Linked DNA regions of Arabidopsis thaliana. The protein of the gene in region 1 interacts with the protein of each later gene in a pairwise test. Each region holds a gene or a part of one and is shown in the gene's direction. Other genes may lie near its edges.

Region 1 (4,458 bases):
GGCGCGTGAGTTCTCGGCTAATGGTTGTCGTGTGGTGGCGACGAGTCGATCGCAGAAGACGATGACTGAATTGGAGAAAGATTCCAAGTTCTTTGTGCAAGAGCTCGATGTTCAGTCTGAGCAGAGCGTGAGTAAAGTTGTGTCGAAAGTTATCGACAAATTTGGTCAGATTGATGTTTTGGTTAATAACGCCGGAGTTCAGTGTATCGGACCTTTGGCGGAGATTCCAATTTCAGCCATGGATTACACCTTCAACACCAATGTGCTCGGTGAATGAAAATTTTCGAGTTACTTCTTATATGCACACCATGTGTTTGTTAAAATTCTTGACTCAACTCTTTCATGTTTTATTTTGCTCTGTTGATTTGGGTTGTGAGAAGTCTCTTCAAGAACTGAACTTTGTAAAGAAACTTTGCAGGTTCCATGAGGATGACTCAAGCTGTTGTACCTCACATGGCGTCTAAGAAAAAGGGAAAGATTGTGAACATAGGAAGTATTAGCATAATGGCACCAGGACCATGGGCTGGGGTTTATACTGCATCAAAAGCTGCTCTTCATGCTCTTACCGACACTTTAAGGTTTTTCGATTTCAGCAGTCTCTTTTCATCAGCTTGATTAATATCATCTAAACAGTAAACACTATCTTGTTTTGTGTTTGTCTAGGTTGGAGCTTAAGCCATTTGGGATTGATGTAATCAACATTGTACCAGGAGGTATTCAATCAAACATAGCTAACTCAGGGATATCGAGTTTCAACAATTTACCTGAATTGAAACTATACAAACCGTTCGAGGACGCTATCCGTGAGAGAGCGTTTCTGTCGCAAAACATAAAGCCGATACCCACAGAGACTTTTGCGAAAGAGACTGTTTCCGTGGTGCTGAAGAAAAACCCACCGGCTTGGTACTCTACAGGTAGGTTATCTACAGTCATGGCGATCATGCACCATATACCGATTTTCATGAAAGATTTTCTGTTGACTAAGAGTTTTATGAAAAAGGGAGTAAAACCTGAATAGTTGTGTTCTTGGTTAGAAACTGTTTTAAATGTATCCAACAAAGTAAATGTGTTGCCTAACCATGTTACATCTTTAGTAAAAGGATTAATCAAGGTACTACTTTGGTAGGGTGTGCAAAAACAAAAACAAAACAGTGGCTAAGCAGAAACTTGGTTATAAACAAAAAAAACAGTGCCTAACCATGTTACATTTATAGTAAAAGATCCAAAAGGCCGAACCAAAACCAAATCGAACTAAAAATGAGTTTTTATTCGATTTTGGTTTGTATAAAACAGGTAAAACTTAATTCGAAACAAGATAAAACCGTAAAGCCAGATTGTCTACTAGACTACCCTTATACTTTGGTTTTTGGTACAAAGATTTGTAGGGGAAATGTCATATCATCTGTGATGCAACTTGCAACCCAACAATGCATCATCAGAGGACAAGATAAAAAGTGGTCAGAGGTTCAATGTAAAGCTTACAGCTAAAACTGAGAAAAGTTTTTTTCCCCTAAAGCTAAGAATGGCATGGATGTCCATCATGTTTAGTGAAAAATCTAATCATTTTATTATTCAGCAAAAATTAAACTTATTGATGCCACATATTTCAGTGTATCACTGTATTGTCATCCTTTTAAAACAAATTAGATTACATTCCAAAATGATAAATTACATTCCAAGTTTATAAGTACGTAAGTTAAAAGATATGTTTTTAAGAAAAGTATATGAACAAAATTGACCTGAAAAAGAAAGCAATAAAACTTTTCAGAATGCATGAACTATGAAAGCCAATTCACATCTGGGTCCACCTATATTAATTTCACAGTCAACATTTTCGATTACTACTAATATGTTCAAGTTTTTAAAAAAAAAATTAATAGTCACTTCGAAAATAAACAAAAGCCAAAAAAAAAAAGTCAGTAGGCCACAAAGTCCTTCAGTTCAGGAGGAAGAAGACGACTCTCCTCTCTTCTCATCTTTCTTCTTCTTCTCAGAAAATCACGAAAGATGAATTCAAATCCCTAATTCCTCTCCATAAAACCCAAAACCCTTTTCAGAAATCAAACTCACCACCAATTCCTGACCGTTGATTTGTCGCAGATGGGTAAAAACGGACGGCTCAGATGGAATCCTTTCAGCCACAGATCGTCTTCTTCAACCTCTTCATCTTCACGACAACAGCAACAAGAACAACAACCTCCGGTCGAATTTCTCTGTCCGATTTCAAAATCAGTAATGTCTGACCCTGTTGTTGTCTCTTCCGGTCAAACCTTCGAACGTGTCTGTGTTCAAGTCTGTCGCGACCTCAACTTTATCCCCAAACTCAACGACGACGAAGAATCTCTACCCGATTTCTCCAACATCATCCCTAACCTAAACATGAAATCAACAATCGATACTTGGTGCGACACCGTCGGCGTCTCACGTCCTCAGCCACCTGATTACTCCACCGTCGAGAGAATTTTACGGCAACAGATGCCTCCACCGGACGTCGAGATTCGTGTCTCCGAGCAAGAGCTTCTCAGAGCTGTAGCTCACCGAGCTCCGATGATAATTCACCACGCTGATTCTGAACTCATGGGAAGGAGAGATTTCAACAACTCCACGACCTCTTCTGATGAATCTGTAATCGTTGCTCACAGTCCATTCACTCCTCTTCCTTTAACAACTAGACCCGCTTGCTTCTCTCCATCTCCATCATCTTCTTCCTCCGAAATCGAAACCCTAACGCACCACACTTTCTTCTCTAATTCTACTTCCACCGCCACAGAAGAGGACGAAGTGATTTACAACAAGCTTAAGAGCAGTGAGATTTTTGATCAAGAGCAAGGTTTGATTATGATGAGGAAGATGACTCGTACTAATGATGAAGCTAGGGTTTCGCTTTGTTCTCCTCGGATTCTTTCTTTGTTGAAGAATATGATTGTTTCGAGATACAGTTTAGTGCAGACGAACGCGTTAGCGTCGCTTGTGAATCTGTCTTTGGATAAGAAGAACAAATTGACGATTGTTCGGTTAGGATTTGTTCCGATTTTGATCGATGTTCTGAAGTCGGGGTCTAGAGAAGCTCAAGAACACGCAGCTGGAACAATCTTTAGTCTTTCTCTTGAAGATGATAATAAAATGCCTATTGGAGTTTTAGGAGCGCTTCAGCCATTGCTTCACGCGTTACGTGCAGCTGAGAGTGATCGGACGCGGCATGATTCGGCTCTCGCGCTTTACCATTTGACGTTGAATCAGACGAATCGATCAAAGCTCGTTAGGCTTGGAGCGGTACCAGCGCTTTTCTCGATGGTTAGGTCCGGTGAATCGGCGAGCAGGGCATTGTTGGTGATCTGTAATTTAGCGTGTTGTAGTGAAGGAAGATCGGCGATGCTTGATGCGAATGCGGTTGCGATTCTTGTAGGGAAGTTAAGGGAGGAGTGGACGGAGGAGCCGACAGAGGCCCGGTCATCGTCATCGGCTCGTGAGAATTGCGTAGCGGCGTTGTTCGCATTGAGCCACGAGAGTCTTCGATTCAAAGGACTAGCGAAGGAGGCGAGAGCAGTGGAAGTGTTGAAGGAAGTGGAAGAGAGAGGAACAGAGAGAGCTAGAGAGAAAGCAAAGAAGATTCTTCAGCTGATGAGAGAAAGAGTGCCGGAGGATGATGAAGAAGATGGCGAAGGATCAATTGATTGGGACCGAGTTATCGACTCCAACGGCTCAATTAGGTCTAGATTCCGAGTTGGTGGTAGAAACAGAGTGGTCACTCAAAACTCCTCTGGCTTCTAAAGTTCCATTCCATTTGTTGTTGTATAGTAGACATTCAAAATGTTTTGTGATTGAAATTTTTTGTAAACTTGACTTGAAATATGTGAGAAAAAAAGCATGACTGATGTATATATATTTTGTACAATATATAAAAGATCCATTTGAAACAAACGCATACTAGATATAAATGTAACGCAGATACACAATAGAAGTCTAACTATGTTACAAAGAAGAAAAATTGACTAAACAGCTCAAGGTACAAGATTTGTAAGACAAAAGATCTCGTTTCTACTTTCTACAATATGCGTTACATGAAATAAAATAAAGTGGGTCAGAAACTATCTAATACTAGAACTAATTGGATTTTTTGGTTTGTTTTTACTAACCTTAAGAATGGTGTGGAGGTCCAAAATACATCATACCCGGTGGATGAAAACTCTGACCTTGTTGCGCTTGTTGCTGAGCTGCATTTGGTTGGTTGTTATTATTCATCATATGCGGCGGCAACGTTCCAGGCGGCGGTGGCGGCAGTGCTCCAGGTGGCATTAATGGAATGTTACCAAATCCATAAGGAAACTGTTGTGATGCGGCTGGATTTGGTATTATGTGATACTGCTGAGGATTTGGAGGAACAACAAATGCATTTGTGTCTGAGGTGTTTGATTTGGTTAGACCAGAAGTTTGTGTAGCTTCGGCTGCAAATGAAGA
Region 2 (6,349 bases), on another chromosome or scaffold:
TGTTATAAGCAATCAAACACACAAAATTACTCTCTAGGAAGCTTCTCTTTACTCAAATGGGACAGAGAACACAAGAAAGTAAAACAGAACCTGTCCTTTATAAAGATCAACATTGAGAACTTCGTCAAGAGACCATGAGAGCACCAGATCGACTAAATCTCTTCCTTCAATACGCATTCTCGGCATTTATATTAAAGTTACCAAACTCGATTTCGTACTCTGAAAGATTAACGCAACAAAACCCATTAAACAAGTGAACCCTCAAAGGTACGAACTTTACACTTTTGGCTATAACAGAGAAGCAAAAGGAACTATTTTTACGAGAACCATTGATCATTGAAAGGTAAAGTAAGGTTTTTTCTTCTTTGTTCTTTTTGGTAAACAACGTCTTAGGATTTTGAGATTCGCAATGAAAAACCCTAAATTCTAACGTTGGCTTGAACATTAGAGCGTGTGGCAACGAAATTTGAAGATGATGCAATGAAATTTTAGCCGCTTACTTTGAATTCGAGTTGTTGTTGTCAGAGTTTGATTACTTCGAGACGAAGAAGGGTTTGGTTTTGGGAGACAGGAACAGAGGTTTCTTTTAGAAGGACATGGATGAGTAAGGATTTGGAGGGAAAGGAGGAGAAGAAGTAATTAACTAAAATGGTAAAATTTTGGGGCTTTCTTGAGTTATTTGTTTACTTACGGGTCTACTATGTAAAGTAATTACGTTTCGTATTTAACCGGTTTACACGCTTTCGCAATCTAGCCTATCTACGCCATAAGCTAAACATGACTAGATAGTCCTATAAGGCTATGACAATAATGTTAATTTAAAAAAAGAGGATGTGTTCGTGGATGTTTTAGAGAGAAGCTAGAGAAGAAGAAAGCAATAGAATTTAGTATATTCTAAAATCTATTTCTATTTTTTTTTGCATTTGCATAGTCTTCAACATTAATAATAATTATTTGTATTGACAAAATTTTCATAAAATAAAATCTATGTCAAATAATATTATAAAGACAAAATTTTACACAATAATACAAAATTATATATGAATTAGAAAAAAATGTTGAAGGTAATATAGCAGTTAACAATTTCTTGATTCATTTAAAGAGAGAGTGCATCAATTAAGAGCAAATGTTATGAGATGGCTCAATTCTATGCAAAAATAAAAAGATAAAGTTCTAAAAATATAAAGCATGGAAATAAAATATTGATAACTCCTTCAAGTGGTATTGATGAGTTTATACGATCTGAACAAGTAAGAATCATACAAAACAAATCAAGAATAACAACAACCTATGATTGCACCTAATATTTATTGACAATATTTTGGTGACTTTAAAGGAATTGTACGTTGTAAAATCGTTTATGTAACAAGTCTCATTATTTGTAATAAATAATAAATTTTATAACTAAATTTTATAAATAATAAAACAGAAGGGCCCATAAATATTTTGTGTATTGCTTTTGTTTTTAATAACTAAATTTTATTAGAACTGTCATACAATTTTTTTTAAATAATGTAAAATCTTTAAAAGAAATTTATAAGGGCAGCCAAAAAACAATTTTGTTCTAGAACCCATGATAGAATTGAACCGGTCATGATGCGATGGCCAGTACACACAGCACTACGAATACGAAGCTCTGCCAAACAAATGTCATTTTGTAGTCTAAGGTTAATGATTTACTTGTCTAGCGAATGAAATAGTTGAAGCTTGGTGGTGTAAGTTAATTTCTTTCATGAATTGATATTCGTAGGAAAGGAAAGAAAACCAAAAAAAAAAGATTATTTATAACGAGAAAAACACAAATTAGTTTTATATCTCTCTGAGACACGCATAGGCCTGGCCACACACACACACAAATAAGGAGTGTTGACGAGATTTGTTTCTTTTTTGCGTAAACGAAGAAAGGTCAGTTACTAAGAAAATTACAAAAACACTGATAAGTAAATGTCTATCTAACGAGTTATTTTCTTGTCATTTGCTAGGTCAACTCTATAGTGACAGAGTCTATAGATATTTCAAATGCGAACAAGAAGACCAAGAAAACCAAGAAAACCAAGAAAAGACAGCCGAAAATGAAATATCATCAACAATGTAATATACAGAGTAATCGTGTAAATAACGGCACACATCAACAATAATATGAATCTCCGAAGATAAAAATTCTCAAATTCTCATAAAATTCCCTCAAGAAGAAAGAAAACAGAACACGAGAAACTGTCCTAGAGAGAGATGAGAAGTGTACCAAACTACCACCATTCTTTCTTCATTTTCCTCATTTTAATTCTGTTTCTTGCTTTCTCTGTTTCTCCAAACACTCTTTCAGCCACAGAATCTCTCACTATCTCAAGCAACAAAACCATTATATCTCCTAGTCAAATCTTCGAGCTCGGTTTCTTCAATCCCGCATCAAGTTCGCGTTGGTATCTCGGCATATGGTACAAGATAATCCCTATAAGAACCTACGTATGGGTTGCAAACAGAGACAATCCTCTCTCTAGCTCCAACGGAACTCTCAAAATATCCGGCAATAACCTCGTCATTTTCGATCAGTCCGATAGGCCTGTTTGGTCGACGAATATAACCGGAGGAGATGTGAGATCACCAGTGGCTGCAGAGCTTCTTGATAACGGTAATTTCTTGCTCAGAGACTCCAATAACAGACTTCTATGGCAGAGTTTCGATTTTCCGACAGATACTTTACTTGCGGAGATGAAATTGGGATGGGATCAGAAAACCGGATTCAACAGGATCTTGAGATCCTGGAAAACAACAGATGATCCATCAAGCGGTGAGTTTTCGACAAAACTCGAAACCAGCGAGTTCCCTGAGTTTTACATATGCAGCAAGGAGTCGATACTATACCGCAGCGGTCCATGGAATGGAATGCGTTTTAGCAGCGTACCAGGGACAATTCAAGTTGATTACATGGTTTACAATTTCACAGCAAGTAAGGAGGAAGTGACTTACTCATACCGAATCAACAAAACAAACTTATACTCGAGATTATACTTAAACTCTGCGGGTTTATTACAACGATTGACTTGGTTTGAGACAACACAGAGTTGGAAGCAACTATGGTACTCACCGAAGGACCTATGCGATAACTACAAAGTGTGCGGGAATTTCGGTTATTGCGACTCGAACAGTTTACCAAATTGTTATTGTATCAAAGGGTTTAAGCCAGTGAATGAGCAAGCGTGGGACTTGAGAGATGGCTCCGCTGGTTGCATGAGGAAGACGAGGCTGAGCTGTGACGGTAGAGATGGTTTTACCCGGTTGAAGAGGATGAAATTGCCAGATACCACGGCGACAATTGTGGACAGAGAAATTGGGTTGAAAGTATGTAAAGAAAGGTGTCTAGAAGATTGTAATTGCACTGCGTTCGCTAATGCGGATATTCGCAATGGCGGGTCTGGTTGTGTGATTTGGACCAGAGAGATTTTGGATATGCGAAATTATGCTAAGGGAGGTCAGGATCTTTACGTTAGACTAGCCGCTGCTGAACTCGGTTAGTTTCTTTCTTATTTGCATTTACTAAAGTGGTTCTTACTTTTTGTTTTGATTAAAAAGTTATGACCCAAAGTCAATATATCTTCCCAATCTGCGGACCAAGTCATGTAATATTGTCCCTCTCGAAGCAAAGTTCAAACTCCCTAATCTATAGAGGCTTTGGTCAACAAAGTACATTCTTGATGTTTGGTCAATTTGTTTAGTTTTTTTTTTTTGTCATCTGTTTTTAATTAGAGATCAAAAGATTAATAAGAGTTTAGCTAGATCCAATACCATTATACCAAAAAGAATTTTTGTTTAAGTTAAATTAATTATTTTGTTTATTTTTCGTATTAATTTTTTTTAATCAAACGTACAACAAAGGATATTTTTCGTATAGAAGTAAATATATGCCTCGTTTTTATTGCAGAGGACAAGAGAATCAAAAATGAAAAAATTATAGGTTCGAGTATTGGAGTGAGCATTTTGCTTCTTTTAAGTTTTGTCATCTTCCATTTTTGGAAAAGGAAGCAGAAGCGATCAATAACAATTCAAACACCTAATGGTAAAATAAATCATTAGCTTTCATTTCCTTTATTTTTGTCAATAAATTTTGATAATCAAATGTCTTGATTGTTTTTTTTTTTTTTAACGCCTGAATGAAACAGTTGATCAAGTGAGAAGCCAAGACTCGCTAATCAACGATGTGGTAGTATCTAGGAGGGGTTACACATCCAAAGAAAAAAAAAGTGAGTACCTAGAGCTTCCATTGTTGGAGTTGGAAGCTCTTGCCACGGCAACAAACAATTTTTCTAACGACAACAAGCTTGGACAAGGTGGATTCGGAATTGTTTACAAGGTAAAAGTGATTCAAAACATATTGAAAATCTACCACAGCACATGGTTTCATTGTATAATCACATGTGTGGTAATAGGGAAGATTACTTGACGGAAAAGAAATTGCGGTAAAGAGACTATCGAAAATGTCCTCACAAGGGACCGATGAGTTCATGAACGAGGTTAGATTAATTGCAAAGCTTCAGCACATAAACCTTGTCCGGCTTCTAGGTTGTTGCGTCGATAAGGGTGAGAAGATGTTGATCTATGAGTACTTGGAGAATTTAAGCCTTGACTCGCATCTCTTTGGTTAGTGACTCAAACAGCTTCTGTTCTAATAATTGAACATTTTTGTGAAAACGTTAACTTGTTGTTGGTTGTGTTGGATGTGTAGACCAAACACGAAGCTCTAACTTAAATTGGCAAAAGAGATTTGATATTATCAATGGTATTGCTAGAGGACTTCTATATCTTCACCAAGATTCACGGTGTAGGATTATCCATAGAGACTTGAAAGCAAGTAACGTATTGCTTGATAAAAATATGACTCCAAAGATCTCGGATTTCGGTATGGCGAGGATCTTTGGACGGGAGGAGACAGAGGCTAATACAAGGAGGGTGGTCGGAACTTAGTAAGCAATCATTCTTCAACAAAACAAAAAAAGAGCTTTTATCTCAAGTCCAAATATTTTCTTAAAAACCTCATAACATATGAGTTTATATTTTGTTATGCAGCGGCTACATGTCTCCAGAATATGCAATGGACGGGATATTCTCGATGAAGTCGGATGTTTTCAGCTTTGGGGTCTTGCTTCTAGAGATTATAAGTGGAAAAAGAAACAAAGGATTCTACAACTCAAACCGTGATCTTAATCTCCTCGGTTTTGTAAGCTAAAAACCTCTTCAATTCGATATTGTTTTGCATTCATAATCTGATTATAACACTAAAGAAATATTACATCCTTTATGCACAGGTGTGGAGGCATTGGAAGGAAGGAAACGAGCTAGAGATTGTAGATCCGATCAACATCGATTCTTTGTCATCAAAGTTCCCGACACATGAAATCTTAAGATGTATACAAATTGGTCTCTTGTGTGTTCAAGAACGAGCCGAAGACAGACCAGTGATGTCCTCGGTAATGGTGATGCTTGGAAGCGAAACTACCGCTATTCCTCAGCCTAAACGTCCTGGATTTTGCATTGGTAGAAGTCCTCTTGAGGCTGATTCTTCTTCAAGTACACAGCGCGACGATGAATGTACAGTGAACCAAATCACTCTCTCGGTCATTGACGCTCGGTAATTTGTAACTTACGGCCCAATCTGTTTACATGCATATCATTTTATAGGTAAGTCTAAATAGATTTTATTACTACATATATGATTCGATATCTTGCTCTATCTAATTTAATTTAGACAAAAGATTCACCACATGTTTCACATGATTTTGATTTAGAGCGAGAATTATAAAAAAAAAACATTTAGACAAAGACAAAAAAATGCAAGATTTGGAGTTGTCACTCCAAGATTTGAAGTTTGAGACCGAAACTCAATTAAGTGGGAATTCAGTAATGATTAATATTCACTTTTTGTACATACTACTGATAATAGACCAATACTGGAAGCGAACATAGGACTTTATGGCTATTACAACAGAGGACTTTATGAAACAAATCGAATATATACCTTAAACTTTTATGAATTCATCGGTGAAGCATTCTCTTGCATATAACATTTAGTATGTCGCCAGCAACATTGAAATTTTGTCTATTCTCGTACACACACACACAAATGGTTGAGGATATTATTTTTTTGGAGTAAACGAAGAAAAGTCAGTTACTAGGAAATTACAAAACCATAATTATCAATTTAACGACTTTTAAGGTCATTGACTCAATTCTATAGTGACATAGTCTATAGATATTTCAAAAGCGAACAAGAAGACCAAGAAAATGTAGCTGAAAATGAAATATTATCAACAATAGAGAGAAATCGTGTAAATGACGTTCACACATTTCAACACCA

Evidence for each region.
Region 2: the proteins of PUB38 (region 1) and RK1 interact in a two-hybrid assay, tested with the Arabidopsis thaliana proteins (one study listed by BioGRID).

The regions. Positions count from the first base shown.
Region 1 is NC_003076.8:26,047,486-26,051,943, reverse strand, and holds PUB38 (plant U-box 38), read left to right. Parts: upstream 1-1,897; 5' UTR 1,898-2,100; coding exon 2,101-3,771; 3' UTR 3,772-3,879; downstream 3,880-4,458. Other genes in the region: AT5G65205 (NAD(P)-binding Rossmann-fold superfamily protein), read left to right, coding at 1-269, 419-578, 664-1,018; AT5G65180 (ENTH/VHS family protein), read right to left, coding at 4,138-4,458. UniProt on the Arabidopsis thaliana protein: Functions as an E3 ubiquitin ligase.
Region 2 is NC_003070.9:24,466,703-24,473,051, forward strand, and holds RK1 (receptor kinase 1), read left to right. Parts: upstream 1-2,079; 5' UTR 2,080-2,229; coding exon 2,230-3,508; intron 3,509-3,919; coding exon 3,920-4,054; intron 4,055-4,157; coding exon 4,158-4,348; intron 4,349-4,424; coding exon 4,425-4,635; coding exon of another isoform or gene 4,636-4,640; exon of another isoform or gene 4,641-4,720; coding exon 4,721-4,958; intron 4,959-5,061; coding exon 5,062-5,212; intron 5,213-5,300; coding exon 5,301-5,627; 3' UTR 5,628-5,770; downstream 5,771-6,349. Other genes in the region: AT1G65780 (P-loop containing nucleoside triphosphate hydrolases superfamily protein), read right to left, coding at 91-186. UniProt on the Arabidopsis thaliana protein: Involved in the regulation of cellular expansion and differentiation. Mediates subcellular relocalization of PUB9 from nucleus to plasma membrane in a protein-phosphorylation-dependent manner.